4 linked regions of the Diceros bicornis minor genome follow. The protein of the gene in region 4 purifies or fractionates together with the protein of the main gene of each other region. This does not show direct contact. Links are inferred from orthologs where the notes say so. Each region holds a gene or a part of one and is shown on either strand. Other genes may lie near its edges. The genes, in order: IQGAP1, COPA, URGCP and HECTD1.

The links.
Region 1: the proteins of HECTD1 (region 4) and IQGAP1 purify together in Homo sapiens (affinity purification with mass spectrometry; 3 studies listed by BioGRID, with this or other methods). This does not show direct contact. The link is inferred for Diceros bicornis minor from reciprocal best matches to the Homo sapiens genes HECTD1 and IQGAP1.
Region 2: the proteins of HECTD1 (region 4) and COPA purify together in Homo sapiens (affinity purification with mass spectrometry, with the first as the bait; 3 studies listed by BioGRID). This does not show direct contact. The link is inferred for Diceros bicornis minor from reciprocal best matches to the Homo sapiens genes HECTD1 and COPA.
Region 3: the proteins of HECTD1 (region 4) and URGCP purify together in Homo sapiens (affinity purification with mass spectrometry; 4 studies listed by BioGRID and IntAct, with this or other methods). This does not show direct contact. The link is inferred for Diceros bicornis minor from reciprocal best matches to the Homo sapiens genes HECTD1 and URGCP.

Annotation. Positions count from the first base shown.
Region 1 is NC_080744.1:94,456,537-94,463,701, reverse strand, and holds the start of IQGAP1 (ras GTPase-activating-like protein IQGAP1), read left to right. Parts: upstream 1-4,150; 5' UTR 4,151-4,208; coding exon 4,209-4,263; intron 4,264-5,995; coding exon 5,996-6,095; intron 6,096-7,165. UniProt on the Homo sapiens protein: Plays a crucial role in regulating the dynamics and assembly of the actin cytoskeleton.
Region 2 is NC_080743.1:65,001,493-65,008,619, forward strand, and holds the start of COPA (coatomer subunit alpha), read right to left. Parts: upstream 3,014-7,127; 5' UTR 2,913-3,013; coding exon 2,873-2,912; intron 1-2,872. Other genes in the region: NCSTN (nicastrin), read left to right, coding at 3,138-3,222, 4,451-4,555. UniProt on the Homo sapiens protein: The coatomer is a cytosolic protein complex that binds to dilysine motifs and reversibly associates with Golgi non-clathrin-coated vesicles, which further mediate biosynthetic protein transport from the ER, via the Golgi up to the trans Golgi network.
Region 3 is NC_080780.1:1,092,848-1,100,534, reverse strand, and holds the start of URGCP (up-regulator of cell proliferation), read left to right. Parts: upstream 1-4,680; 5' UTR 4,681-6,308; coding exon 6,309-6,322; intron 6,323-7,687. UniProt on the Homo sapiens protein: May be involved in cell cycle progression through the regulation of cyclin D1 expression. May participate in the development of hepatocellular carcinoma (HCC) by promoting hepatocellular growth and survival.
Region 4 is NC_080744.1:17,489,389-17,497,358, forward strand, and holds the start of HECTD1 (E3 ubiquitin-protein ligase HECTD1), read left to right. Parts: upstream 1-4,955; 5' UTR 4,956-5,041; intron 5,042-5,474; exon of another isoform or gene 5,475-5,605; intron 5,606-6,282; 5' UTR 6,283-6,414; coding exon 6,415-6,554; intron 6,555-7,970. UniProt on the Homo sapiens protein: E3 ubiquitin-protein ligase which accepts ubiquitin from an E2 ubiquitin-conjugating enzyme in the form of a thioester and then directly transfers the ubiquitin to targeted substrates.

The sequences.
Region 1 (7,165 bases), about 77 Mb from region 4:
TAATGTATTGGTGTATAGGCTTCAAGGCTTTTTTCTATTCATATGCACATCTATATCTATCTATATGTTTTTAAAGCAAAAATGGTATCATAATATGTTTATTAGTTCATAATTTGCTTTTTTTTCCACTTAACCATCATATTAGGAATATTGATCATTGTTTGCCTACCCAGCCTCCCATTGAAGGAAATAATGCCCAGCTCACAGTTTTCTATCCTTAATTGGCTGTATTTCCTGACCACAGCTAATTGAACTAAAGGATTGGCATCTGATCCAAGGGCAGCCCACTTGTGGGCATTCAGAAACATACACATGGGGTGAAGAGATGAGCTGGGCCAATCATATGCCACTGGGTTACGGGAATTGGGCAACTGAGATTATCCTCAAAGGAGCTGATGGTGTAAGGATGTCATGGCCCAAGGCCATGGCAAGCCAAATAGAAGCCAGAGTTGTGACGGAGCAGAAAATATTAGAATTGATGAAGCTGGTTGCCGAAGAGAGGAGGGTAAGAGCAGACCTGTGGAGAAGCAGATATACCCAGAGGGACAGAGCCCTGCCTTCAAGCTTCCGTTAGTCCTGTTTTTTCTTGCTCTAGTTCCAATCCATATATATCTTTATTAGAAATACCTCCCTTCCAGGCTTTTTTCCTCTAGAGGTAAAACAAGTGGGTCTCCATTCCTTGTAGCCAGGCAAGCCTGACCAGAACCACAAATCATCACTATTATGACTGTATAGCGTTCCATTGTGTGGAGGTGCCATCACTGATTTAAAAACCTAGTGGTGGGCTTTTAAGACATTTCCAATGTGCATCTTCATCACTAATTTTTGCACATTAAAAAATAATTTTGGGGGCTGGCCGGGTGGCGCAAGCGGTTAAGTGTGCACGCTCCGCTGCGGCTGCCCGGGGTTCGCCGGTTCAGATCCCAGGCGCACACCAAGGCACCACTTGTCAGGCCATGCTGTGGCGGTGTCCCATATAAAGTAGAGGAAGATGGGCATGGATGTTAGCCCAGGTCAGTCTTCCTCAGCAAAAAGAGGAGGATTGGCAGATGTTAGCTCAGGGCCAATCTTCCTCACACACACAAAAAATAATAATAATTTTGTTATGATATATTCTTTTAAAGAAGTGGAATTCTTTGAAAGATTGCTACATAAATGCTAAGTTGGACTTCAGAAAGATTGTATCAATTTACAGCCCAACCAGCAGTGCATGAGAGTGGTTGCTTTTTCAACCCTTTGCCAATAATATCAATTAAAACAAAACATTGCTACTCTGATAGGCAAGAAGTGGTAAGTGGCCAGTTATGATCTTAATGTTCATTTCTCTGAATCTTGTGTTTATTGACCAGGCACGTAGGCTTTGTCACTAGACAAACCTGGGTTTGAGTTCCAGCTCTGCCTCTTGCTGTGTGACCTCAGTTGAGTTAGTTCTCCATTTTCTCATCTGTAAATTGGAGATAATAACAGTTCTTACTCTGTAGGATTATTATGAGGCTCAGATGAGAAAATAAATACAAAACAGTCCAGTAACGCCTCAGTACATTTCAGTTATTATAGTTATGAAGTATGAATTAATTTGTGACCATCAGATAAAGCAATGTGAGCTATCTGAAACTCAATAGGATATTGATTTAAATACCTGTTAGAGGGCCGGCCCCGTGGCTTAGCAGTTAAGTGCTCGCGCTCCGGGCGCGCAGCGACGCACCGCTTCTCCGGCCATGGCCATGCTGAGGCCGAGTCCCACATACAGCAACTGGAAGGATGTGCAACTATGACGTACAACTATCTACTGGGGCTTTGGGGGAAAAATAAATAAATTAAAAAAATTATAAAAAAAAATACCTGTTAGAATTGTATGGTCCTAGGAATAAGAAAAAATGCAAGAGGCCAACAGGTTCATAATCTTTATCGTTAGAGAGAAAATACATTTACATGTTTGGATTCCATCCATTTACACAGGTCTTTAGAATTAAAATAAAAACACAATGTACATATCTTAAAAGCCAAGAAATATAAAATAAAATCAAAAGATAAACTGTGTAGGACTTGCAGATTTCTCAGAGTAGTTAGAGGATGAGGTAACGAGTTTTGAAGACCATGACATAATATAAAAAGGGGCTCAAAATGACAGTTGACGCAGTGAGAAGAATGGCTCTAAAAGTCTGTGCCTCCAGGACTTATGTCTGGTAGAAATGTCTGATCGAAAGTAATCTTAGTTAACTAGGTTGGAAACTGGCTTTCTTAGCAGCTCTGTGTCTTTCAACTCAGAGAAGCTTTAGAATTAAATACAGAAAGGCTTAATGGGGTAAAAACTGTGGGATTAATATGTTGGTGTTAAGAAGAAATATGTGCATATTTCACATTTCATGAACTTGCAATCTTTAAGAAATTTTGGCTTATTAGAGTGACAGCCTTATAATTCATTTTAAATGTATAATTGAGTTAGTTTTAGACTTAAGATTTTGAGTTGAAATCTTACTAAGTTTACACTTGGAACTGGGCTAAGAAAACTTTGGATTCATTATATTTGTACGTTTACTTGATTTATAAGGATTACTAAACTCTGAAAGGTTCTAGATTAGATAACTGAAGAAATTAAAAAGAAAATCTAAGATATTTTTATGGACATAATTTTAAATGTTTGAAGATGTTGGATTAACTAAGTTTGTGAATGGGACCAAAAATTATTCAAAGTTTCTGAAAAGTGGTAAAATATGCTAGACATAACTAGAATAAAATTTGTAAGCTGAACTTAAAAGCTTAAGAAAGAACTAACTTTTGAATTTGTTGTAAATTAAACCTTTGCCCATTTTTTAATGGGGGTGTTTTGTTCTTATGTTTTTAAGCAACTCACTTTAGTACTTTGAAGGAAGAGTGGATAAATTGAAAACAGCTAGAGCAAAAAGCCTGGAGTCAGGTTGTGAAGGGGCTTATTTGGCATGCTAAGGAACTTGGACCATAACCCGAAGGGAGTAATAGGAAAAAATATAAAAAGGAATAACACAACTGCGTTTGCACCTTAGAAAGAACATGCTGTTGACTGTGAGGAGCTAGTTGGCAGAACGGAGAATAGAGATAACGACAATCTGAACTGTGTAATCACAGTGGAGATAGAGACAAAAGCAAGACACTTCAGAAGCAATACCGATTGGATTTAGGGCACGAGGCAAGGAGACTGGCGTGTCCCGGCTGCGAACTGAGCACTTCTGTTAGTAGAGAATATAGCAGGAGCAGGGGCAGTTTCGACACGTTAAATTTGAAGTGTCTGCGGGATTCAGAGGTGAAAATGTCCATTACACAGCTGAAAATATTGAGTTAGGGCTTCTAGAGGGTCTGGTCTGGAGCTATATATATTTAGGGCTCTTCAGCAGTTCAAGGTGAGCACAGATCAAGTTACCAAGAGTGGGCAAAGAAGAGGACTGACCGAATTCTGCTGAATACCAACATTTTAGGGGCAGGCCACAAAGTGCAAGAGGAAGAGGCATCCCTAAAAGGGGCAAGGAATCCCCTAAAAAGAAGAACTTAACAGTGGCAGGAAATCCAAGGCAAGGAAGTTTGGACAAACACTGTTCTCCTGCTTTAGCACCCACTTCTCAAATACTTGGGGGGTGGAGGAGTCCAAATCTGGCGACTGCTGGCGAATCTAGGAGAGGACTGAAGCCAGACTGCCAGACTGTGAGGTCCCTTATGGCAGTTTGTGTCCTGCTTGTGTCCAGCAAGAACACGCTAGGGCACTTCAACAGACGCCTTCCTTGAGCTCTTTGGCGCAGAGGAATTTATATGGGCAGGCAGTGGAAGGGGAAGGCCCACGTTTTCTATTTCAAGCAACCGACACCGTTGGCCTTTTTGTCCGAGGCGCGGCCGGGGCGGCGGCCGGGGACGCAAAGGCTCCAGGGCAGGGGCGGACCTTCCCCACCAAGCGGAGCTCGTCGCACCTCGATTGGCAGCCGGGCTCCGCCTCCTTCCTTCCACCTCCCGGGACCGTGCGCGCGCAGGGCGGGGCCGGGCGGCTCTGCCCCGCCCCCTTCCGCCCGCTCCCGTCAGCGCGGCAGGGTGGGGCCGCTGGGGTGGGGCCTGCGGGTGGGGCGGTGGCGCGGGGCGGGGCCTCCGGGAGCAGGGCAGCCCGCGCACTCTGCAGCAGCTGCCGCCGCCGTCGCCCGCGCCTCCGAGGTCTCACCTCTTCCTCAGCAGACCCGGGCTCGGCCGCCATGTCCGCCGCGGACGAGGTTGACGGGCTGGGCGTGGCCCGGCCGCACTATGGCTGTAAGTGCGGGGCTCCGCGGCGCGGGGGTTTCGGGCCGGGCTCGCTGCCTCCGAGGTGCCCTTTCCCCGGGGAGTCGGCCAGCCGGGTGGGGCAGGGCGGCTGCGGGCCGCGCGGACCCGGAAGAGCCGGGCGGCGGGCGGCGGCGGGCTGGAGGGGTGGCGGGCGGCGAGGCCCCGGGCCCGCGCCCCCGGTCTCCGAGGCGGCGGGGAGGACCGGGCGCGGGGGCTGGAGGGCCCCACCCAGCGCCTCTCGCCTGCCGCTCGACCGAGATTGGGGAGCCGGCCCTGGGTGAGGTGGCAGGCGGACGCCGCAGGGCGTGTCCCGGGGCCGGGGAGCGGAGACGGGGCCTCTGCTCGGCCTCGTGGGAAGGTGCTGCCTGCGAGGTGGACCCGGCGTCCATACCTGCCCGGCCCCAGGCTAGCCGAGAGGTGTGGCCCTGGTCAAGTCACTTCAGCTTTCGTGGGCTTAGTTCCCTCGTCAGGATTTCAAAAAAAAAAAAAAAAACCCACCTCTGACTTCCTCATTTTCTGTTGCTGTCCCTAGGACATCATTGGATCAGGCGGCATAGTTACCAAAGGCGAGTCCTTTGGAGTCTTGAGGTTTTCAGTTTTATGTTCTGGGACTAATGTTCTGTTTTTAGGATAATTGCACTCAACAGTTATCTGTGAGGTCTTGTGTCACGTTTGTGAAATTAAACATGAGTAAGACTAGGCCCTGCCTTCAAAGAACGTTTTCATTAGAGAGACAAACAGGCGTACAACCTAATGCTAATAAGGTGTAGTGAAGATAAAAGATGCAGTGAACTAACTAGGCATAAACAGTACCCTGAGTGGGGGGAGGAGCGTGGGGAAGGCAGGAGGAACACAGGGAGTGACGTTCTGACGGAGCCTGTCTTCAAGGATGCTGTGTAAAGTTTGACAGGGCAGGGTGGGCCAGGAGACATGACGAAGAGAGAAGAGTATAAACTCTTCTAAGGCGTTGAAGAGTGGAAGGGTGCTGTGTGTGACAGGAACTGAGTGGTGTGGAGTGCACAGTGGTGGGAGGAAGAACAGGGAGAGGGAGGAGAGTTTCCAAAAATAGTTGGCGCTAAATTGGGAAAGGCCTTGAATGCCATCCCAAGGAGTTAGGAATTTATTCCATACGTTGGTGCTCATGAAGGAGGTTGATTGCAGAGGTTAAGCTCACAGGCTTTTGAGACACTGCCTGGGTTTGGATCCAGGCCCCATCATTTATTAGCTGTGGGGCTAAGATCACCCAGCCTCAGTTTTCTCATCTATAAAATGAGAGTGACAGTTACAGGCTAGTGAGGCTTCAATGAGAGAATGCATGTAAACTGCTTAGCCTTATTACTGCCACTTAGTTCTTAATGACTGCTGGCTTTGGTTGTTAATAAAAGAGGGAGATACCATGATCAGCTCTGTACTTAGAGCTAGTCTGGCAGATAGACGAGGACAAATTTGGGCCAAAATCTCAAGTCAGTATTTTTCAAGTTACACTGAATTTTAGTACATGTTCATATTACCATACTTTTTAAAAAAGGGTAAGATGAGTATAGTTGAAACCCCGTAATTCCTGTTTTAGGACAGTCATTGTTGTACACCTGGCTACCCACACATCCACAGGTTACCCTGAGTCTCTAGGTGACTAGCAGGAATTTGATGCTGTGGCATTCTTTTATCGCTTGGGAAGGTTACAGATTCTTATGTTTACATTCTTTCTTTCATGTTTTAGCTGTCCTGGATAATGAGAGACTCACGGCAGAGGAGATGGATGAAAGGAGACGTCAGAATGTGGCTTATGAGTACCTTTGTCATTTGGAAGAAGCAAAGAGGTAAAGATTGGCTGGCTGGAGAGAAGACTGGGAGAAGGGAGCTGATATGGTGTGAACACAGATAAAGATCTCTTTGAATGTGTTGTAGGTGTGACTGTGGGAGGCTGGTAGTTTGAAGGAATAAGTATAGTTAGGGTATTTATTCATGGGAGCAAGTAGCCTTGATAGCAGTTTATCGTGAAACATTGATGGGCACTTACATATACTGAAAAATTTCCAGATTTGTGTTGTTCAGTTTCATGCTTATGATGCGTGTTTTGGGCACTGCCAGTTGTAGGGAAGAAATAGCGTTTTTAGTGTTTGAAATTCTTGGCCTTTATGTTTCACTGGTTTCTCACTGGTTTTGATTTATATGAATTGGGTCCATTCTCCCCTGGGTAATGCTCTGGGTATAGGTCCTCTATTTGGCAATGTTAAAAGACGGTTTACCAAAGGCAGCATCCTCTGCATTCTTTGTGAAGTGAATGTACAGCTGCTGTTTTCTGATACTCCCAGACCTTGTGGTCTTATTGTTAGAGTGTCAATTTGCTATCAGTGGTTCATTTCTTTTGTTCTGGTGCTTGTGTTCCTTTGCAAGGTCCCAGGGTAGATAGATGTAATTACAGATCATTTATCCTATAAGTGAGCTTTGGTGGAAAAGGCCAGCAAGGGCTAATCAAGGGTATTGGTGATCAAAGTCTACTGAAAATCAAGGATGTTTCAAATGGTGCTAATAAACAAGAGTGTTTTGGTAATTCTGAAGATCTTAAAACGCTACAGGAAAGTCCAGAGAACAAAACAACAAACATCCATGTATTCCAGAACTAACAACTGTTAGCCCTTCAGATCTTTCCCTTTCCTCTTAAAAGACATGGAGTCCTTTTTGTGCCTCTCTCTGGTCCCAGTCTCCTCCTTCCCATCCTTGGGCCTACCACTAACATGCATTTGGTGTGTCTTCTTGATTCCAGGCTTCTTTTCTGAGCTTAAAGCCCTTCCATTAGACTGGGGAAGGGGGACTGGGATTAGTGATGATTTAGGTGGGGAGAATGATAATAACACTTGTTTTTGTAAATGGAAGGTTAGACAGCAGG
Region 2 (7,127 bases), on a different chromosome or scaffold from region 4:
CAAATGATCCAATAAGCTAAGTAAGCCCCATAATTTCACCTCCTGTCAATTCTGACATGAAAAAGAAAAAGCTAGGTTAATCCTAGGTTCATACATTCATTCTTTGGATGCCAGACATTATGAATTTTGTTATTAGGTGCTGGATTTTTGTTATATTCCTTTAAATATTGTTGGGCTTTGTTTTAAGATGCAGTTAAGTTACCTGGAATCAGCTGATCCTTCTGAGGTTTCCTTTTAAGTTTTGTTAGGGTGGGGCCCCAGCAGCCTTTAGACTAGGTCTAATTTGGCACCACTATTAAGGCAACACCCATCTGAGGTCTCCATGTGATGCCCTGTAGTATTAGGAGGTCTTTCCATTCTGGCTGCTAGGAACACAAGCTATTCCCAGCTCTATGTGAGCGCCAGAGATTGTTCTACCTTCTCCTCTCCAGTGGTTCTTTCCCAGGCTTTGGGACTTTTCCTCACAAGCATGTGCAGATTAGTCCTCAGACAAAGCCCTGACAGGATCCCCTGCAGAACTCCAGGGTTCTCTGTGCAGCTCCCTCTTCTCTGGTATTTTGCCCAGCAAACTCTAGCTGTCTTGTCTTCCCTGAACTTTAAATTCTGTCTCCTCAGTGAGACCACTGGGCTCTTCCCACCTCCCTATATTGCAGCCTGGAAACTCTCTCCAGGTAGTAAGCTAAAACAATCATAGGACTCATCTTGTTTAATTCCCTTCTCTCAAGAATCACTCTCCTTCACTGCCTGTCATCCAACATCTGAAAACCTTCATTTCCCACATTCGGTTCAGTTGTGCAGTTGTTTAAGGTGGTGAGATAAATCTGGTCTCTGTTACTCCGTTATGATTGGAAACGGAAGTCCACAGAAGTCACTACTGCTAACATTTTGGAGTGTATCCTTTCAGATTTTTAATGCAGACCATATCACTTTACTAAAATGGAGATAATATTATAATGTTCTGCAAACTTCTTTTCTCACTTAACTATATATCATGGATCTCATTACACTTAAGTACATATAAACATAACCTCATTCTTTTTAAAAACTGCAAGGTACAAATGAATCATATTTTTAAATTATTCTACTGATGGGCTTTTACGTTTTTTTCCCTAACTTTTGTCTATCAGAATACTGGGCCTAATGAAGACACTTCCACACATATTCTAGCCTATTTGCATTATTATTGCTTTAGGCTAAAGACCTGGAAGTGGGATTGCTCAGGAATAGCATATGTGCATTTAACATTTCGGTAGATACTATCTGACTGCAAAAAGACTATCAATTACAGTCTCACCAAGTTTCTGAAGGTACCCATATTGCACACCTTGGCCAATGTGAGAGGTTATCACTTATCTGTTGTTTTGTTTGTTTTACTAACTTAAGACCGAAAAAAAGGTATTCTCACTTTTTTTTTTTGCATTTCTTTCACTACTAGTAAAGTGGAGAACATTTTCATTTACTTTCATTGAATATTTACATTCTTCTAAATTGTCTACTGTTCCATTAGGTTGTTTTTTTTCCTTTATGATATATAGAAATACTCATTAATGGATATTAACTCTCAAATATTCTGACATCTTTTTTTTCCCACTTTCTTTCTCTACTACCCAACAAGAAGTTAGGAGCAGAAGAGAAAACTCAAGGATTATGAAGACCCATTTCAACCATCCAGGAATTCTTAAGGATACTCTTCATGATCAAGATTCTCATGACATTTAAAAACTGCTCAGAATCTCTTCTCACATTAATAATGACCTCCAGTTTTTGAGCTACTGAGTCTACGCCAGGCACTGTAATAAGCACTTTTCATATACCTTCTCGTTTTAATTCTCTCTATAAGAGAATGTTAATTATTCACATTTTACAGATGAGAAAATAGAGATTTAGAAATGTTAAGCAATTTGTCCAAGGTCACACAGCTTGTTAGTAGATGTTTCAGGATTCCAAAGCAAGCCTATCTGACTCCAAACACCAAGTTTCTAACCACTTTGCTATGCTACATCTCATTAAATGTTCAAGATATATATATATTTTTTTGTTGTTGTTTTCTTTTTTTAAGTCTCAGGAGACCTTACTTCCCCGCCTTTCCCACCCTACCATTCTAGGAGACTACTACAGTGATTTCAGTTATTTGCCCTCCACCCCCATCCATTGATACTCAAGCTCTAGAGTTGCCATATTTAGGAAATAAAAATAAAGATTCCCAGTTAAATTTGAATTTCAGATAAACAACGAGCAATACTAAAAAAATTACTTGTTGATTACCTGAAATTCAAATGTAACTAGACTTCCTGTATTTTACCTGGCAACCTTATCAAGCTCAGATTTTACTGGGGTTACAGGCCTCAATGTCCTGTTTCCAGGTAGGAAATAAAGCCCAGTGGTGGCACTAGATGTTGATATGGTGCAGCCAAGGGCTCCTTAAGAGAAGTAGCCAGTGCTCGCCTCCGAAAAAGCTGACTTAGACGCGAATTGTAGAGGTCGATCCTCAATCCCCAGGGCCACTCCTTACAACACGGTCGTCAAAAAGCCAACACACAGGGCCTTGAGAGCAGAAGAATAAATGACGGGAGCACAGGCCCTAGGAGAGGAGGGAAGGGGAAAGAATAGGAAGCGGGCTAAGGGCCCTCCTGCCACGCGGGAACCACTACAGATAAATCAAATCCCAAGGACACAACAAAGAAGAGAGGACTGGAGAACCGCCTGCCAGGCCTAGCCTCCCTCCCTCCCTCCCACTTTCCCTCCCTCCCACTTTCCTCGGGGTTCGTACGGTGGGCCCAATTCGGCCGGCACGTCAACCCTCTCTCTCTTCCCCCGTGAGAGCGCCGCCCCTGACACCGAGCCTCCATACTCCCCCTTTTCTTCTCACTACCTTTGACTCGCGCGCTCTTGGTCTCGAATTTGGTTAGCATCCTTCAGGCCTCGGGCTCCAAGGTGCTAATCAGAGCCCCACCGCTCCCTGCCGCCCTTCGGTTGCCTCCACGTCAGCGCCCCTCAGCAGCGGCTCCCGGAAGCTCCACGGATACCAACTTCCGGTCCGAGGAACTCCGGGCCACAGAGACGGCGCCAGTGTTGGCCTAGAGAGGCCGCTGCTGGACCAGAGGGGAACCGAGGCTTCCGCTCAGCCGAGAGGCAAGATGGCCACGGCGGGGGGTGGCTCTGTGGCTGACCCGCGAAGTCGAGGTTTTCTTCGCCTTCTGTCTTTCTGCGTCCTACTGGCAGGTGAGGCCTTCCCCGCCCATGAGCTCCAGTGTAAGGAGAACCCTCCGGATCGGCCCAACCGCAAGCGCCGCTGTCTTTCTTCTGGTTTCCGCTGCCCCTCTGTCCCCCCACCCTCTAAATCCGTCTTCTCTTTCGTTCCCACGACAGAAGTTCCCCCTTTGCCTGGACCTGAAGGTCCTTTTTCCCCTGCGGCACGTCATGTCGCCCCATTTCCTCCTCCAGGCCTCTTCCTGGACTTCCAGCCCGACTCTCTCCCCCTTTATCCAGATGCCTCATTGTCCCCGTGGCCCCAGTCAGCCCACCTACAATCAAAACGGACATTATCAGAGTTCAGCTTCACTTCTCAGCGCGTTTAGACTTTCTGAAAGCAGCCTGGTTGTGTGTGTGCGCAGTGTGACTCTTAGGAAAGTAGATTTTCGTTTCTTCGTTTGTTGATTCCACTGTAAACCCGCGTCTCTGTGCTTTGCCTCAGTTTGTCTCGTCAGGCAAGTGAGACAAAGATAGGATATGGGTACTCTTAACTGTTTAGACCATGAAAGAATGATTCAGGGAACTTTAGGCATTTACAATGTGCATAAGTGTTTGCTTACACACATTTATTTTCTGATATATGGCTTTCTAGTTGGTCAAGCCCTAAAATATAAACATGCCTGTTTATAACCCTGACCTACCTTCCCCCAAACTTACATTGTTTTTAAAGATCTCCAAAGGAGAAACTATAGCTGCCCCACACTGTGGGCACACATGGATGACCTACTGATGTTAGAGTAACTGACAGGTGTGTGGTGTAAGGTTTCTCCCAGTTCTCTTCAGACTCCTGGAAAAACGTCTCAGAAAGATTTTTTTATTTTAATCTATGTTCGTAGACTGGCACTCTTTTATTAACTAATTAGTAATATACATACAGGATAGAAAAGCAGAAGTGTGGTCACCCGTGCAACCAAAAGCTAGTACATCTGTGGTTAAATTGCCTTTCCTTTGACAAACCAAATTTTCTGTCTTTTAGCTTCATTGTCAATTGCTCTATGTGGAATTTGTAGTAACCCTCTGAGGCAAACAGCTGAGTGCATTTATCTTTCCAATAATGTGCCCAAGAAGTAAGAAGAATGGACATTAGTCCCATTTTAGAAAGTATGATATACCCAAGCAGTCCAGCGAGCTAATGACATGATAGAGGCTGGTACCAATGTCTCTTGTTTTCTTCTAACACGTTTTATCTTCTGATCAGGTTTGTGTGGGGGAAACTCAGTGGAGAGGAAGATCTACATCCCCTTAAATAAAACAGCTCCCTGTGTTCGTCTGCTCAACGCCACTCATCAGATTGGCTGCCAGTGTGAGTTGAGGTTGGGATTTGTGTTTGTGACTGTTGATGTTTCAGTCGGCCCCAGATATAAAGATCCAAGTCCTGCTTGGGAGTCTGCACACACAAATTAGGCTATGTGGGTTGGAGGTAATAGAGAACCATTTGTCAAACCAGGCAAGATAATAAGAGCTAACATTTAGTGAATGCTGCATATTAAGTGTCTTACACGTGCATGTTATTTAACTCACAACAACCCCATGAAGTAGGTTCTATTATTATCTTCATCTTACAAATGATGAAACTGAGACTTGGAGAAGTTGAGGAACTTCCGAGATCATCCTGACAATAAGTAATGAAGCCAGGATGTGAGCCCTGGTGGTCCAAGTTTTAACCAGCCAGTAGGTTAAGTAGCAAACTATACTGTTTCCTAAGCAGAAAGAAGTCTCGTATTCTGTGGAGTCCAGTCATCATCCGTACTCTGAATGATCTTTTTGGAACCAAGATGGGCTTCTTTAAGGCAGTAAACTATTTGAAGGGAAGGCATTGAGAAAGCCAAATTGTTGCAAGAGGAATTAGTGAAACATTTAGATTTGTCTTTATGCTTTGTAAAGGTGTTCCAAAACAGAGTACCATGACAACATGGTTATAAAACTATAAAAGGGGAAAAAGTTGTGATCTGAAGGCTGAATCCTGGTTCCTCTGCTGCTTAACCCGCTCTCTTCAGATTTTGTTCTTCTGTGGCTAGTTGCTCTGTCAGAATGTAGTTTGCAGGTAAGCAGGAAACTTAGACTCAGCTCTTGGCTGCTTCAGCCTCAAATAGGTCACCTCTGAATTTCAGTTTACTCCTATAAAAATGGTTAGAATATACCTGCACAAAGCTGAAAGTTGAACTGCCTTTAATAGATGTTGATTGATGATGCTGAGTAAGTAGTGTGGTCTCAGCAGTACTGTATGATTGCGTGAAACCTTCCAATTTCGTGGGAAAAAACTGAGGCACTGGGAAGTGAAGGACTCGCTCAAGGTGGCAGTTACTACTTTTCTACGCTTCCTTCCATGAGCTATACTCTATGTTAATTGCCCCGCGTCCCTGTTACAGGAAGTACTGAGAGTAGGCTAACTGGTTCCAAATAAAATTTTTTGTTGGATTTAGTTCTTAAACTGGGTTTGTGAGGAGAAGGGAGCCATGTCCAGTGTGGGCTGAGATCAGACTATTGGTCTTGCTGGAATCCCACTCTCGTGCAAAAGGCTACGACCCTATCCTCCTGGAGCTGGGCTCTAAGATATCCTCTTTGAGAATGAGTCATTCTGCTGCATGTTCTTAGAGCAGCAGCCCTGTGGGAAGCAAAGCAATAGCCTCTAGAGATAAAGCCAAGTGCCAGTACAGAGAAACAAGAGGGGAGGGGCTGGACTCTGGCCACTTCCTCATTAAGATCTTGTTTCCTTTTCAACCTACTTATTTCTAAGTCTTACTTCATCGTATTTGTCCATCCTGAGCAAGCTATACCCTCTTTACTTAGGGTTTCTAACATGATAAAATTAAGGAGAAAAAGACCCAGGTTTGATTTTCTGATTATAATGCTCTGTTTCTATTAGACCCCTTTAAAGTGCCCAAAGGGGGCTATATGTGGGTTTCTTTTCTTTTCTTTTCCTTTCTTTCTTTCCTTTTTTAATCTGTCCGCACAGTCTGAGATGAATAGGGGTGGAAAAGCTTCTCCTCATTGAAGCCCTAGAGAAAGTAAGCAAGTTACTTAAGACTACACAGTTACCAACTGGAATCCAGATTAGAATCCAGATTTTTTCAGTCCAGTGTCATAGCTTGTCTTCCTGTCCTCCTGGAAGCTGAAGTTATATATTTTTTATTTGCCAGACTAGTTTTTCCTTTTCCTGTGTTTTAAATGCTGTGGCAATAACTGTTGTCTTTTGTTTTACTTGGGACTGCCATTGGTAGCTAGATCTTTACTAAAGTTATTCCAGATTCTGATATTTCTCTATATTTTATTATCATCACTATCAACATAAACTTATTAAGTATTTACTATATATAAGACATAGTTCAATGTTTAGGATCTGCTTCCATGTCTAGATTTTACCAGATCCCGTGGGAGAAAAATTCTACTTGGCTGGCAGTCTAAAAGTACTTACGCTTTTTGTCTCATGCAGGTTATAAGTTTTCAGTACCTTGGTTTTAGAGCCATAATTCTCATGCCTGGCTGTGTATAATAAAGAACCACATGTAGCCTGTTTTGAAAATAACACTTACCTGGGCCTCACCTTAAGAGATTTTAATTTAATAAATCTGAGGTAAGGCCCAAGTATCTGTATTTTTTAAAACTCCAGAGTGATATTCTGATACACAGCCAGGGTTGAGAACTACTGCTCTAAAACAGTTTATGAATAACACATCCAATTTTGAGTGGGGATAAGACTCATGGGGAGACCCTAGAATGTCTCTATATGGATCACTGGGGACTTGAGGGGTATTGCTACATAGAACTCAAGTCATTCTGGACTGGAGATCATCCATCCTCTAGTGCAGTGCTTCCCAATCTTTGTCATGTCATGAGACATAGAAAATGTTATTTGTATGGCATCTTGGCACATA
Region 3 (7,687 bases), on a different chromosome or scaffold from region 4:
ATTTTATTTATTTATTTATTTATTTGAGGAAGATGAGCCCTGAGCTAACATCCGTGCTAATCCTCCTCTTTTTGCTGAGGAAGACCGGCTCTGAGCTAACATCTACTACCAATCCTCCTCCTTTTTTTCCTCCTAATGCCCCAGTAGATAGTTGTATGTCATAGTTGCACATCTTTCTAGTTGCTGTATGTGGGACGCAGCCTCAGCGTGGCCGGAGAAGCAGTGCGTTGGTGCACACCCGGGATCCGAACCCGGGCCGCCAGTAGCGGAGCGTACGCACTTAACTGCCAAGCCACAGGGCTGGCCCTATAGCTTTTAAATGGCTAGAACTACTGTACTACTCTGTGTGTGTGTGTGTGTGTGTGAGAGAGAGAGAGAGAGAGAGAGAGAGAGGGAGAGGGAGAGGAAGAGAGGGAGGGGGAGGGGGAGGGGGGAGAGAGAGAGAGAGAGAGAAAGACCAGCTCTGAGCTAACATTTGTTGCCAATCCTCCTCTTTTTGCTGAGGAAGATTGGCCCTGGGCTAACATCCATGCCCGTCTTCCTCTACTTTATATGTGGAATGCCTGCCACAGCATGGCTTGATAAGCGGTGCATAGGTCCGTGCCCAGGATCTGAATCTGTGAACCCCAGGCTGCTGAAGTGGAGCGGGCAAACAACCACTACACCAGTGGGCCAGCCCCACTATTAATCTATTTTTGCTTTTGTTGCCTGTGCTTTTGGTGTCATATACAAGAAATCATTGCCAAGTCCAATATTTAGCTTTTTCCCTATGTTTTCTTCTACGAATTTTATAGTTTCTGGTTTTATGTTTATGTTTTTAATCCATTTTGAGTTGATGTTTGTATATGGTGTAAGATAAGGATCCAACTTCATTCTTCTGCCTGTGGATATCCAATCCAGTTTTCCCATCACAGTTTATTGAAGAGACTATTCTTTCCCCATTTTGTGTTCTTGGTACCCTTCTCAAAGATCAGTTGATTGTTAATGCATGGACTTATTTCTGGGCTCTCTATTCTTACTATAGCTTTATAATATATTTTGAAATCAGGAAGTGTGATGCCTCTAGCTTTGTTCTTCTTGCTCAAAATTGTTTTCACCATTCAGGGTCCTTTGTGGTTCCAAATGAATTCTAGGATTCTTTTTTTCTATTTTTTTTTTGGTAAGGAAGAGTGACCCTGAGCTAACGTCCATTGCCAATCTTCCTCTTTTTGCTGAGGAAGATTAGACTTGAGCTAACATCTGTGCCCATCTTCCTTTATTTTGTATGTAGGATGCCACCACAGCATGGCTTGATGAGCGGTGCGTACCTGGGATTCAAACATGCGAACCCCAGGCTGCTGAAGCAAAGCCTGCCAAACTTAACCACTAGTCCACTGGATTGGCCCCCTCTATTTTTTTTTTTTTTTTTTTTTGGTGAGGAAGATTGGCCCTGAGCTAACATCTGTGCCCGTCTTTCCTCTTATTTTCTATGTGGGATGCTGCCACAGCATGGCTTGACGAGTGGGATAGGTCCATGCCTGGGATTCAGACCCACGAACCCCTGGGCCACTGAAGCAAAGCATGCCAAACTTAACCACTACACCAAGGGGCCGGCCCCTATTTTTTCTTTTTTTTTTTTTTTTGTAAAGACTGCCATTGGGATTTTGATAGGGGTTTCACTGAAACTGTAGATCACTTTGGGTAGTATGGACATTTTAACAATGTTAATTCCTTCAATCCATGAACATGGGGTGTCTTTCCATTTGCTTTTGTCTTCTTTAATATCTTTCATCAATGTTGTATAGTTTTCAGTGTACAAGTCTTTCACCTCCTTGGTTAAGTTTATTCCTAAGTATTTTATTCTTTTTGATGTTATTGTAAATAAGATTGTTTTCTTAGTTTCCTTTTTGGGTAGGTTGTTGTTTGTGTATATAAGTGCAACTGATTTTTGTATGTTGATTTTTGTATCCTGCAATTTTACTGAATTCATTTATTGGTTCTAGTAGATTTTTTGTGTTTGTGGAGTCTTTAGAGTTTTCTACATGGAAGATCATGTCATCTACAGAGATAATGTTACTTCTTCCTTTCTGATTTGGATGCCTTTTATTTCTTTTTCTTGCTTAATTGCTGTGTCTAGGACTTACAGCACTATGTTGAAGGAGAAGAAAGAGTGGGCATCCTTGCCTTGTTCTGGATTTTGTAGGGAAAGCTTTCAGCTTTTCATCATTGAGTATAATATTAGCTGTGGCTTTTCATAAATGGCCTTTATTGTGTTAACGTAAGTTCTTTCTATACCTATTTTGTTGACAGTTTTTATCATGAAAGTGTGTTGAATTTTGTCAAATGCCTTTTCTGCATCTACTGAGATGATCATGTGATTTTTATTCTTCATTCTGTTAATGTGGTGTATCACATTGATTGATTTGCATAATTTAAACCATCCTTGCATCCCAGGGCTAAATCTTCCTTTTTCATGGTGTGTGATCCTTTTAATATGCTGTTTAATCCAGTTTGCTACTATTTGGTGAGGATTTTTCATCTGTTTATTGGGGATGACTGTCTTTGTTCTCTCACTGAGTTTAAGAAAATTCTTTTGCGTTCTTTGTCAAGTAGTTCATGGACTTCTATTTCTTTAGGGTTAGTTACTGGAGCTTTATTAGGTTTCTTTGTGGTATTATATTTGCATGGTTCTTTGTGATCCTTCTGGCTTTGGGTTGGTATCTGTGCATTTGAAGAAGCAGTACCTTTTCTAGTCTTTATTGACTGGTGTCAGCAGGGCAAGACCTCTTCAGTCAGCCTGGTTAGAGATTCTGGGTGGGCTGGCTGATGGCTCTATGGATGGACCTACTGCTGAGGTCTGTGGCCAGGCCTGCTGCAAGTGTTAACATGTGTGTGGCCTGCTGCCATTGTCATAACTGATCTTTGTGTGTTGATTTTGTCATCTGCAACTTTGCTGAATTTGTTTATTAGGTCTAACAGGTTTTTGTTGTTGTTGTTTGGGTTTTGTGGAATCTTTAGGGCTTTGTACACATATGATCATGTCATCTACAGAGATAATTTTACTTCTTCTTTTTCAATTTGCATACTCTTTATTTCTATTTATTGTCTAATTGCTCTGGCTAGGATTTCCAGTACTGTGTTGAACAGATGTGGCAAAAGTGAGCATCCTTTTCTTGTTTCTGTTTTAGGGAAAAACTTTCAGGCCTTCACCACTGAGTATGGGATTTTCATATATGGCCTTTATTAGGTTGAAGAAGTTTCCTTCTATTCCTAGTTTGAGAGTTTTTGTCATGAAAGGTCATTGAATTTTGTCAAGTGCTTTTTCTGCGTGAATTGAGATGATCATGTGTTTTTTTTTCTTCATCATATTGATGTATATATTACATCAATCAATTTTCATATGTTGAACCATCCTTGCATTCCAGGAATAAGTCCTGCTTGGTCATGGTGTATAATCCTTTTCTATGTTTCTGGATCCTGTTTGCTAGTATTTTGTTGAGGATTTTTCTATCAATATTCATAAAGGATGTTGGTCTGTAGTTTTCTTGTAGTGTCTTTGTTTGGCTTTGGTATCAGGGTAATTACCTCATAGAATGAGAAATGCTCCTTAATTTTTTTGAAGAGTTGGAGAAGGATTGGTGTTAATTCTTCTTTAAATATTTGGTAGAATTCACCAGTGAAGCCATCTGGTCCACAGTTTTCTCTGTTGGGAGGTTTTTTGATTACTAATTCAATGTCTTTACTTGTTGTAGAGCTATTCAGATTACTTATTTCTTCATTATTCAGTTATGGTTGATCGTGTGTTTCTAGAAAGCTATTTTTTCCCTTAGGTTATCCGCTTTGTTGGTGTACAACTGTTCATAGTATTCTCTAACAGTTCTTTTTATTTCTGTAAAATCAGTAGTAATGTCCCCACTTTCCTTTCTGATTTTAGTAATTTGAGTCTTCTGTTTTTCTTAGTGAGTTTAGCTAAAGGTTTGTTAATTTTGTTGATCTTTTCAAAGAATCAACTTTTTATTTCATTGATTTTTCTCTATTGTTTTTGTATTCTCTATTTTATTTTTGTCTGCTCTAATCTTTAATATTTCCTTCCTTTTGCTAGCTTTGGGTTTGGTTTGCTCTTCATTTTTTTGTTCCTTAAGGCATAGAGTTTATTGATTTAAGATCTTTCTTCTTTTTTTTTTTTTTTATTTTTTATAATTTTATTTATTTGTTTTTTCCCCCAAAGCCCCAGTAGATAGTTGTATGTCATAGCTGCACATCCTTCTAGTTGCTGTATGTGGGACACGGCCTCAGCATGGCCAGAGAAGCAGTGTGTCAGTGCGCGCCCGGGATCCGAACCTGGGCCGCCAGCAGCGGAGCGCGCACACTTAACCACTAAGCCACGGGGCCGCCCCTCTTCTTTTTTAATGTAGATATTTACAGGTATAAAATTCCCTCTTAGCACTAATTTTGCTGCCTCACATAAGTTTTGGTATGTTGTGTTTTTATTTTTATTTTTGTCAAAGTATTTTCTAATTTCCTTGTGATTTATTCTTTAATCCATCAGTTGTTTGAGAGTGTGTTGTTTAATTTCCACATATTTGTGAATTTTACAGTTTTCCTTCTATTTTTGGTGTCTAGTTTTATTCTATTGTAATCAGAAAAGATACTTTGTATGATTTAAATCTTGTTAAATTTATTAAGACTTATTTTGTGGTCTAACATATGGTCTATCCTGGAGAATGTTCCATTTGCACTTGAGAAGAATGTGTGTTCGGCTGTGAAATGCCACATACTCACTAAAACATGTTGAGGAAGAATATTTAATTTCAGTGAACATATATTACTTATTTTTAAATATATTTTAAAACAAAGTTTATTTAAAAATATTATCTGACCTCCCTCACTCCAGTGGCAATCATTGCTGCCTTCAATCAGGCCATTTAGTGGTTGCCCACTCCCCAAACTCTTTCTAACCCTAGTCCTCTTGGATTTATACCTAAATTGGGTCTAATAAGCCCCTGTGGCTTTACTTATCAGCTCACATTGACAGAGCATTAATTGTTTTCTGAACTCAAGACAACAATTGCGACCTTCTATTTTACTGAAGGGAACAAGGATGGATTCTCAGGGAAGGAAAGAGACCATGTACCTGGCAATGTATTAATCACTTTACACATATTAACTCATTCAACCCTCAGAGAGAGGAAGGAACAACCCATTATTATCCCTATTTTTCAAATGAGGAAACTATGGCTCTGGGAAGGTTCTACCTTGCCTGAGGTTCCAGAGCTGGTAATTAGCTGAGCCCAGATTTCAACCCAGGTATTCTGGTTCCAGAGCCAAGGCTTTCAGTCACTGCTTTGTTGTCTCTTATTCTAATTGGTAAAAATAATAACATAATGATTAATTATATTTAATATAACAAAAATGTGATCAACAGTGGTTTATATTGTTCAGAGATTTTTGTTAAGCGTTTTCACTTACAAGAGCTCAATTACTTCTGAAAACTCATTTTGCTGAGACAGGAACTGAGGCTCAAGCACCCACAAGTGATGCTGTGAAACACCAATGCAGGAATTCCAGACTCATTATTATTGCTTAATAATGCAACATAAATAATAAAAGTGCCCACAGTCCTTAGGGCTCCACAATGTGATTTTACACACATTTTACGGGGGTAACTGGCTCGGAGAGGCCAGCAACTTGTACAAGACAGCACAGCAAGTAAGAAATAGCAAAGCTGTTGTTTTGCTTAATAATAATAACAACGCCTTGTAGTCCTGGACTAAGGAAAGGCTTTTCTTACGGAAATTAAACTCAAATCGCAGGGAGGTGTTGACTTCACCAAAATCCGGCAGCTGCGTCGTGGCCCGAGGGCAGGTTTTCGGCTGGTTTTGCACCAGAGGAGCCTCCTGGCGAGTCCCGGAGATTGAGCACCTGGGGCACCTGGGCAGGTGGGCGGGTCCGCGCTGCAGGCCGACGTGGGCCGCCCCACGCCCCCGGTGCCAACCCCGTGCTCCCCTCGCCCCTGCCGCCCCGAGCTGACCCCAGGCCCACTCACATCCCGTCCCCCGCCTCCCCGAGCCGATACCCGGCCGCACCCCTATCGTACAACGGGCCCACTCACAGGCCTTCTCGGGTCGACTCCAGGCCCCCGGCCCGCGCTCCCCAGCCCCCTCCGCGTGTCCCTGGCCCCCTCCCTGCACCCCCGGCCCCTCCCCGAGCCCCGCCGCCTGGAGCGGCCCGGGCGGTCGGTCGGTGGCCGGCGCGAGGCTCCTCCCCGGCGGAGTCGCTCTGCGCGGAGGAAGCGGAGGCGGCGGCAGCGCCGAGACCTCGCCGCGCTCATGGCGTCGCCCGGGTGAGTGCGGCGCTCGGGGCCGCGCCGGGGTCGGGGCTGCGGGCTGCGAGGTGGGGGCTGCGGGGGCGGGCCTCCCCCCGGCCTGCGGGACCCCCGGCCCCCCGGCCCTGGGCCCCTGCCGCCCTCCAGGCCCCGGGCCCGCTCCCGCCGACCTTGGGCGGACGCGGCCGGGCGGGGGGCTGCGGGGGCGCGGGCGGAGGAGAGCGGCGCGCGGGCGGGATCCGGGGGCGCCGGGGCCAGGGCCGGGGGAGGGCGGGCAGGGCGGCGCGGCCCCCGGCGCCCCAGGCCTCGGAGCCGCTCCGCCCCGGGCGCCGGGTGTCGGCGGGCGCCTGCCGCCCGGCCCTCGGTCTGTGTTTTTTCCACTTGCTCGCGTCGGAGTTGATGCTGGGTTCTCACCGCCGTCGGGACGTGGCCTGAACGTTAGGAGCGAGGGCTGGGGGCACCCCGCGCCGGCCCGGTCCGGGGCGCCTGGTCGGCCGGGCCGCGGGCCCTGGTGGGATGGCTGCCCCTATTCTGACATCAGCTCTCTTTTACTGTCTTCGTATTAACGTGTTCCTTTTAGCGAATAATGATGACAGAGTTGTCATTTTTTTTTTAGATCCTTATTTGCGAAATAAAACCTCAGCGTTTCATTATGATTACTTTTTGTTTTGGTAATTTAGCTAGTCATGAAAGCTGGGAATGAAAGAATTGATCCAACATCTTCACTTCACAGAGGAGGAAAATTAGTCTCAAGGTCATTGCTTTAGTTGGTAAAATTCTTCGTTTGACTGTTGTCTACCATTCAGAGGGTCTTAGAGTAGTGGCTGTGATAGCAATTCAAATTGTACATCTTTACATTTCACGAAGAGCATTTACAGTTGTCGAGGCCTGTGTGGTAGAGATGATGGATAGCAGGCCTCTTACAGGTGAGGCCTGAGCCATGCCATGGAGTGAACTGGCTCAGTGCAGTGGGCCTTAATGGAGCAGCCTGGATTTGACTCCAGCCAAGTCATGGGCGTTTTCCATCTACTTGCTGTCTTTCTAGGTTTGGGGAGCAGTGCTCACGAAATACCCAGTACTTTGAGCTCATAAATAGAGTAAACAGCAGCCCATCCCTCAGAAGACCAGCCTGATTCACCCAGGGGTTCAAGGTCCCGCTGTGTTACTGCCCCTCTTGTCAGGAAAGGGTGAGGCAGGGCCCCCTGGAGGCAGCAGGGGTGGCTGAGCCTATGTGGGGCTGCCATGAGGCCCTTTAAAAGAAATGGTGCATTTGGTGTCCAAGCCCACAACTTTGTAGATATGGGTCAGGAGTAGACTTGTTTCTGGGCTGGTATGCCCCTCTGTGAGCCAATAGACCCTAAACTGTGTCCCTGTAGGTGGCAT
Region 4 (7,970 bases):
GCAAATTATACATCTGACAAGGGACTTCTATTCAGAATACGTAAAGAATTCTTACAACTCAACAATGAAAAGACAAAGAACCCAATTTAAAAATGGGCAGAGGATCTGAATAGACATTTTTCAAAAGAAGATGTATGAATAGTCAATAAGCACATAAAAACTGCTCAACATGGTTAGCCATTAGGGAAATGCAAATCAAAATCACAATGAGATACTACTTCATACCCACTAGGATGGCTATAATAAAAAAGACAGATAATAACAAGGTAGAACCCTCATACACTGTTGGTGTAAATGGTACTGATGCTTTGGAAAACATTTGGTAGTTCCTCCAAAAGCTAAACTATGCGGCTCAACAATTCCACTCCTAGGTATATACCCAAGAGAATTGAAAACATATAAGTCTACCAAAAAATCTGTACATGAATGTTCACAGCAGCATTATTCATAATAGCCAAAAACTGGAAACAACGCAAATGTCCATGAACTGACGAATAAAGACAAAGTAGAATATCCATACAATGGAATATTGTTCAGCCATAAAAAGGAAGGAAGTTTTCACACATGCTACAATATAGATGAACCTCGAACACATACTGGTGAATGAAAGAAGCCAGATATAAAAGGCCACATACCATTTATATGAAATATCCAGAGTAGGTAAAAACAGAGAGATAGAAAGTAGATTAGTGATTTCCAGGGACTAGCGGTTGGAGAGAATGTGGAGTGACTGCCAATGGGTATGGGATTTCCTTTTAAGGGTGATGGAAATGTTCTGGAATTAGATAGTGGTAACTGATGCACAACTTTGTCAATATACTAAAAGCCACTGAACTGTACATGTTAAAATGATGAACATCATGGTATGTGAATTATATTTCAATAAAGCTGTTATTAGAAGTTTATATATACATATATGTGACGTGTACACATATATGTATATATAAACTTCATATACATATATACTTATACATATAAAAATATATACACTTGTGTATACATATTATGTACACATCAGAAAATTGAATATAAGCCTAAAGAAATTGAATAATAGGGCCGGCCCCATGGCTTAGCGGTTAAGTGCACGCGCTCCGCTGCTGGCGGCCCGGGTTTGGATCCCGGGCATGCACCGACGCACTGCTTCTCCGGCCATGCTGAGGCCACGTCCCACATACAGCAACTAGAAGGCTGTGCAACTATGACATACAACTATCTACTGGGGCTTTGGGGGGAAAAAATAAATAAATAAAAAATTAAAAAAAAAAAGAAATTGAATAATAAAAAACTTTGAAATCACAGTCATGATGATTTTCAAAGAAAAACTAGTACAGATAACATTTCCTTGAAAGCTTGGTGGTTAATTTCCTTGGTCAAGAAGCTCCCTGCCTTAACCTCTAGAATACCTCAGTATATCCACATTCCCACGTTAATAATACATACATCTAGTCTGCGGGTGTTATCAAGCCATTTGCATTTACCTAGTAAATCACACACTATTCCCCAGGCTCCACATTTACATTAAATTCCGATTTACGTTCCTGGGTCTTAAAGACAAGGATTCAGATAATCTATGGCAAATGACCTCCAGGGAAGTAAAAGATAATTTTGGTTTTGAATGACCTAGATGGATTTGTCTCCTAAGCAGCTTTACTTGAATAACTGCTCACCTCTCGAACTCTGCTATGGCAGACACATAATCTCTGAGAGTAGAAGTTTAATCCTCATGGCTGAAGTAAAGCAGCTAGTTTTCCAGGCTCAGCTAATTTAAACCTGGCCCTCAGGCTTCTTTAGCTAGCTGATAAAAGGGATCAAAACGATTCCCTGAATAACACGTGAGTTTGGATGGGGATGGGTAGATGAATTTTGGACTTTGGTGATGTAAGAAGTCCAAGAAAAGGGCTTAAGACTTGTTTAATGTCATACTAACTTCATATTGTTTACTAATATGATCACAAACTGTAATATATATGATTTTACATGTTTATGCCTAGAAAAAAGGCCATAGAAACGTTATCAAAGTGTTAATGACAGTCTCACGGTGGTAGGTGATTATTATTTTTTCTTTTTACTCTATTGGAATTTTCCATTGGATGCTTTTGATACATAAAAAATTTAATGCCATATAGTTGTGTTATCCATAAGATAATGATTTATTTAAAAAATTAATTTATAGTAATGCCTGTGGGTGGGATAAGAGTTTAAATGTAAATGATGAATCTCTTCCTTCTTGATCTTGTGAAAGGACTCTAGTGACTGTGTGTATATTGAAGATCCTTCGTGAAAGTGAGGCCTACCTCAAAAGGTGGCCTGTTCCCTCTGCTCGCCCAAGAGGAGCCCTCTTCATACTTCCATGCCTCTCCACATGGTCTTCCTAATGGAGACCTAATGGAGTTGGTCTGGCTAGCTCCAACTCAACATCTGAGATCCAGCCCGCGCATCATTTTCGAAGCCTTCTAAGACACCATTACCTCCTTGATGTTTCCAGCGTACCTGACAATGTTATGGGATAAGTACTATCGTAGAGGCCGACACGGGAAGTGTGTTTACATCTACCCTCTCCTAGACTTTTATAGTTTATTGAAGATGAGGCCTATGAGTTACTGTGCCTGGCACATAAAAATTCTCAATGTCCATTATTCTTAGATTTTAACATTGAGGTGGATTATTAGCATGTAAACATATCCTGGTTTCCTGGGATATAGATTCAAGTAGGGGCAGTATTGCCTTCATCTGCTTCCTCTGTTTTCTTCAGGGCTTAATTCCTTTCCTTTAATGCTCTTGTTCTAGGATCTCATATTTGAATTTAAGATAATAATGTCATAATAAAATCACAATAAAAGTCACAGCATTTTCTTGATAGATTTCTTTAAAGCATACCACAGTCATTAATTTTGGGGGGGGGGTAGGAAGTGGGTGGTGCAGATAGAGATGGTGAGGGAATAAAGGAAAATATACCTTCAAAACTTTGAAAAGTGTAGTCACTTTTTCCAACTTCTCTATTTTCTGTTAATAGCATCATCATTTCCCTAGCTTCCAAGACCTTTCTGCAGGTTAAAAAACTAATTGAAGTTAATCATTTAAATTTTGACATATCTTTAAAAAAAATTTTTTTTAGATGTATTTCTTCTCCATTCTTATTGCCAGTAACTAGGCTCTTCCTCCATCCACTATTGGAGGATTTCAGCAACCTCTCAGCTAATCTCCTTGTCTAGGTAGCTCCTTTTAGCCACTGGACATTTTTGCCCTAGAAATCTTTCTAAGACTTAATTTTTCCAGTCAATGTTCTAGTCCACTGTTACTAGTAACTTGTAGTAACTTGTTACTTACTCCAGCCTAAATTCTGCATTCAGCATTCAGCATTCAAGGCCCTGCTTACTTTAGCTGCTACCTTCTCTCCCTCCCATTGCTTAATGCAGGTGCTTTGCTTGGGGCACAGGGCCTCTTTCCTTTGTCTCAGAACATACCAGGCTTTGTATTCTTCCCCCTCCCTGTAGTGTCGACATTCTACCCATTCTTCAAGGTCCAGAAAGAATGCCACTTCCTCCTTGAAGATTTTCCTGGCAGCTCCAAGTCATATTCATAGCTCCCAAATAATTATTCTCATGTGTTGTAGTTGTGACAAGTTAGTAGAATCCTCTACCTTTTTCTCCTGACTTGATCTGTTAATAGGTGACCTAGGGACCATTACCTGCGACAGTAGCACATGTGCCACAGATATGTGAAGTGCAAATCTGTAATTTCCAAAATACTGGTTCTTCAAGCATATGCAGCAGCTCCTCCGATTGCTTAAAGGAATACATCTCAAAGACTATCGTGTAAGATTCATTTTTGTTTAAAAGATGAAAAAGTGAGAGTACAGCGGGAGTGTCTGAGGCATGGATTTACTTATCTCACAAACCAAGGGATTCATTTTCTTATTTGACTCACATTTCCAATTCATTACAGCTTAAACACCTCCAACCACGACCTATAAGCAGGCATATTTTATTTTCAATTCGTGTAAACTAAAACGTTTGAAGGGAATAACCACGGACACATTTGAGACCTCAACCCGCAGAAAAAAAGAGTCAAAAGCACACTCAGCGCTGCTGCTCACTGGGGACGCCAGTGGAATTTACGGTTTCTGGAGCCTCAGTTCTCCCATCTGCACAATGGCGATAACACTCGATAATATTTACTTCCGAGGGTTGTGGTGAAAGCTTTTCTTCCTGGCGAACTGCGGCGCGGTCTGCTTTTCCTCTCGCGACGCACTTCCGTGTGCGCGAGGCCAGGCGAGGCCCGGCGGGGAGGAGGCGACGCTCTTGGCGGAGGACCGGTCGCCGCGGCCGGAGGCTCGGCCGGCGCGGGTTGGGCCGCAGCGTTGGCGCGCAGCGTGGGGCCTTCGGCGGGAGCACGCCAAGTGTGTAGACGCCGTGCAAAACAAGCGGAGCGTGCGCGCGCCGGTGTGCGCGGGGCCCGGGAGCGCGCTCGGATTGACAGCGAAGCGTAAAGGCGCCAGGGCATCGGAGAGACAAGCGACAGCTGGCGAGGCCAGCGAGCCCGAGGCTCGGTGGCCAGAGCGCCCGGGCCGGCGCCCCCGCGCCGCTGGCCGACGGGTCTCCGCAGCGCCCCTCGTGGCGGCCGGCGGGGTCGCTGCCAAGGAGCGTCGCTTTGCTCCGCCCCCGCCGAGCTCGGCTGCCCTCCGCAGCCTCCGCGCCCGGACCCTCTTCCCTTCCCCCTCCGGAATCGCGATGGACGCGGCCTCCCGCCGCCGCCGCCGCCGGCAGCACCGCGCGGGCCTCTGAGCTGCAGGGCCTGAGGAGCCGCGTGCTGGGGACGGGAAGTGCGCTGGCGGCCGCCGGTCGGGGGAACCTCTCGCTTGCCTGTCACCGGCTCCCCGCGGAGGAAGGGGAGGGACGAGGCGCGGCTTTTCCTGTGCCGCCTGCCCGGCTCGAGCTGCGCGGCCTGCGGCTTCCTGGGAACTCGAGGGCCGCGGCCGGGCCTGGCTCTGCCCGCGGCCTGCTCGGAGCTGGACCGGAGCGCTTTGGGACGACAGGCCCGGGTAAGAGCCGGAGGGGAGGGAAGGCGGGAGCGCCGTGGGCGGTCGGAAGGGCCAGGCCTGGGGCCGGGATCCGGGGATGCCCGGCGGCGGGCCGGGAGCGAGACCCCGGCCCCGGGTGAGGGCGGCGGGGCTGCTGCCGACTCCCTGGCTTAGCCCCTTTGTTCCCCTCCCCCGGCCCTGCCCGCGGCGGGGCCCGGCTTGCCTGAGCCCGGGCCCAAGACGGGCCCCCCTTGCCCTTGAGAAGGGTTCGCCTCCCGGCCGGCCCGGGGACGTCCCGCCGGGCCTCGGAGTTCCGGGCGCCGCTCGGCCCGGAGGCTGGCTGCTTCTCCTCCAGAACTTCCCCTCCTCCCCGATACGGGGAGCTAACTTAGCGGGGTTGGTGCCGGGAAACCAGGGCGCGGGGCTTCGCCTCCCGGCGCGGGGCTCGGCCGGGCCCGGGGTGTTGGGTCACCCTGCTGGCCGCCGCCGTTGGGTGCCCACCGCGCCCCGCCGCTGGAGTCCCACACCTGCAGCTGGGTACGCGGGCCCCGAAGCTGTCCTCCCGCCGGGCGCTTCCGAGCTTTTGTAAGCACTTGCCTGTTGGGGCTGCTTCTCTGTTTTGTCTCTTTTCTTAGCCAACTGTCCCATTCTGTAGAGATGGGGAGAGAGGGCCGTAGATTGGCCTATACTCTGATCCGTAACGTGCTATTCCCTTGCATTTGCTCTTAGTGATTCTTTTTAAACTTTTAAGAACAGTTGCCAAGACTGCCAAAATTCCTAACCAAGCCTTTAGTCATAGATAGATTTGGTGTCTAATTATCGTTTGTATGTGGGGTGGACATCTTAAGAAGAGCGGTAAGTTAAGTCGTCAGCAGGTTTTGTCAATTTTAAAGCAGCAACTTAATTTGAAGGGGGATTGGATCAAAGTGCTTAGTTTCCTCAAAATACTGAATCTAACCCTTATCTGAAGATCTGTTTTGGGTTGGACGGGAGAAGTTTGCTGGAAAAAAAAGAACCTTTAGTAAGGTGTTCTTTGCCTTTTGGCACAGAAGTTAGTGATAGCAGTAGTGGGATCCGAAGCTTGACTGACAAAGACTGCTCTGGTTTCCAGTTAAGCAACAACCTAATCAGTTTATACTCTTGTGCAAAACTGGTTTTTAGTTAGTATGATAAGTGAACGGTAAACCTGAGGAATAAGGAAAGTTGAAAAACTGCATTAAGCGCTCTATCCAAACATACTTATGAGTTTTCTCTAATTCTAGGAGGACACCACGAAAATTTGGTTCTAGCTGATGTAAAAGAAAACTTTTTAAACCCAAGCTGATCAGTCCTGGACATTTAAAGGACTTTTTACTTTACTTTTTTAATTTAAGCAAAAAGGCTTTTAAAAAACCATGGCAGATGTGGATCCAGATACGTTGCTGGAATGGCTACAGATGGGACAGGGAGATGAAAGGGACATGCAACTAATAGCCCTTGAACAGCTATGCATGCTGCTTTTGATGTCTGACAACGTGGATCGTTGTTTTGAAACGTAAGTACATCCCTTCATCATCTTCCTTTGGGGTTACTGTAGTGCCATCTGTTTTCAACCATTTGCTGACTTCAGTTTGTGAGGAATTTTCTCTAGTGAGTTTTACAGCTATCTTTTTAAAAGTTTCTGCAGTTTTGCAGTTAAAACTTTTCTGAGAAATAAAAACTGGTAGGTGAAGTAACTCCAGTAATGATAATTGTGATGACACAAATACACGTTTGTTGAATGAGTAGAAATTAGTAGAAAATACTAATTTTAATGCATAGCTTGGTTGATTCATTTTCAAAATATGTTATGAACTGGGAAAATATAAATACTTATCTTCTTTAAAGGTAGCTATTTCTGTACCAAGAAATTGACTTGAAATTTTTGGCGTGAAAATACAGATGATAATAAACTTATGTTTTATGACTGCTTGTTTCTTCCTTGGTGTTAAGTCATGACGTTGTACTTTTGTTAAAGCAAATCATTGGTTTGTAAATTTCAGTTTGGAGGGTATAAGTTGGATGTTACCCAAATAGCATCCTTTTGGAATAGTAGAAACAGATTTTGAAGTTTGGAGAGTTTAAACGATTTTATTAAGAGGTTATAATGTAGAATTTGTGCAGAAATGTAAAAGAGAATTCGTCACTGGATTGGCTATTAATGCCATGTTTTTCCTCTTATGTAATACTTGTTTGATTAACCATTCTTCTGAGTGCTCAACACGTTTCGTTTTTACTGTTTATTTTATATTTGTATTTATAATTGTGAATTCCAGTTATAAGTAAATGAAAACTCAGATGTTTCTGTATTTTAATGCTATTTTAAAGTATTTAGTAGAAAATGCTTGAGATGTTGACATAAAATTTGGTATAATTATCTTAATTTTTTTGAGGTGGAAATAAAGGCTGTATTACTAAATTAACATTATTTTAATTGTCTTCATTTTTGAATGAATAGTGAATGGAGATGAATTGATAAACAATAATTCTTAGCTGTAAATCTCATTAAAACAGTACTATTATGATAAAAGTCTTTATAAACAGTTGCCAAATCACAATCTGTTAGTGTCCCATTTTTTTGTGTGTGTGAGGAAGATCAGTCCTGAGCTAACATCCGATGCCAATCCTCTTTTTTTTTGCTGAGGAAGATTGGCCCTGGGCTGACATCTGTGCCCATCTTCCTCTACTTTATATGGGACACTGCCACAGCATGGCTTGACCAGCAGTGTGTCAGTGCATGCCCGGGCTCCGAACCTGCGAACCCCGGGCCACTGAAGTGGAGTGCGAGCACTTAACCACTGCGCCACCAGACTGGCCCCTGTTAGTGTCCCATTTGTTTCAACTAGTTTTTGTTATTGACAAACTTTGAGTATATAATAATTTAGCCCCTCCATTGACACTTGTTTTAGCAGGATGCGTGGAAAAGTGAGGT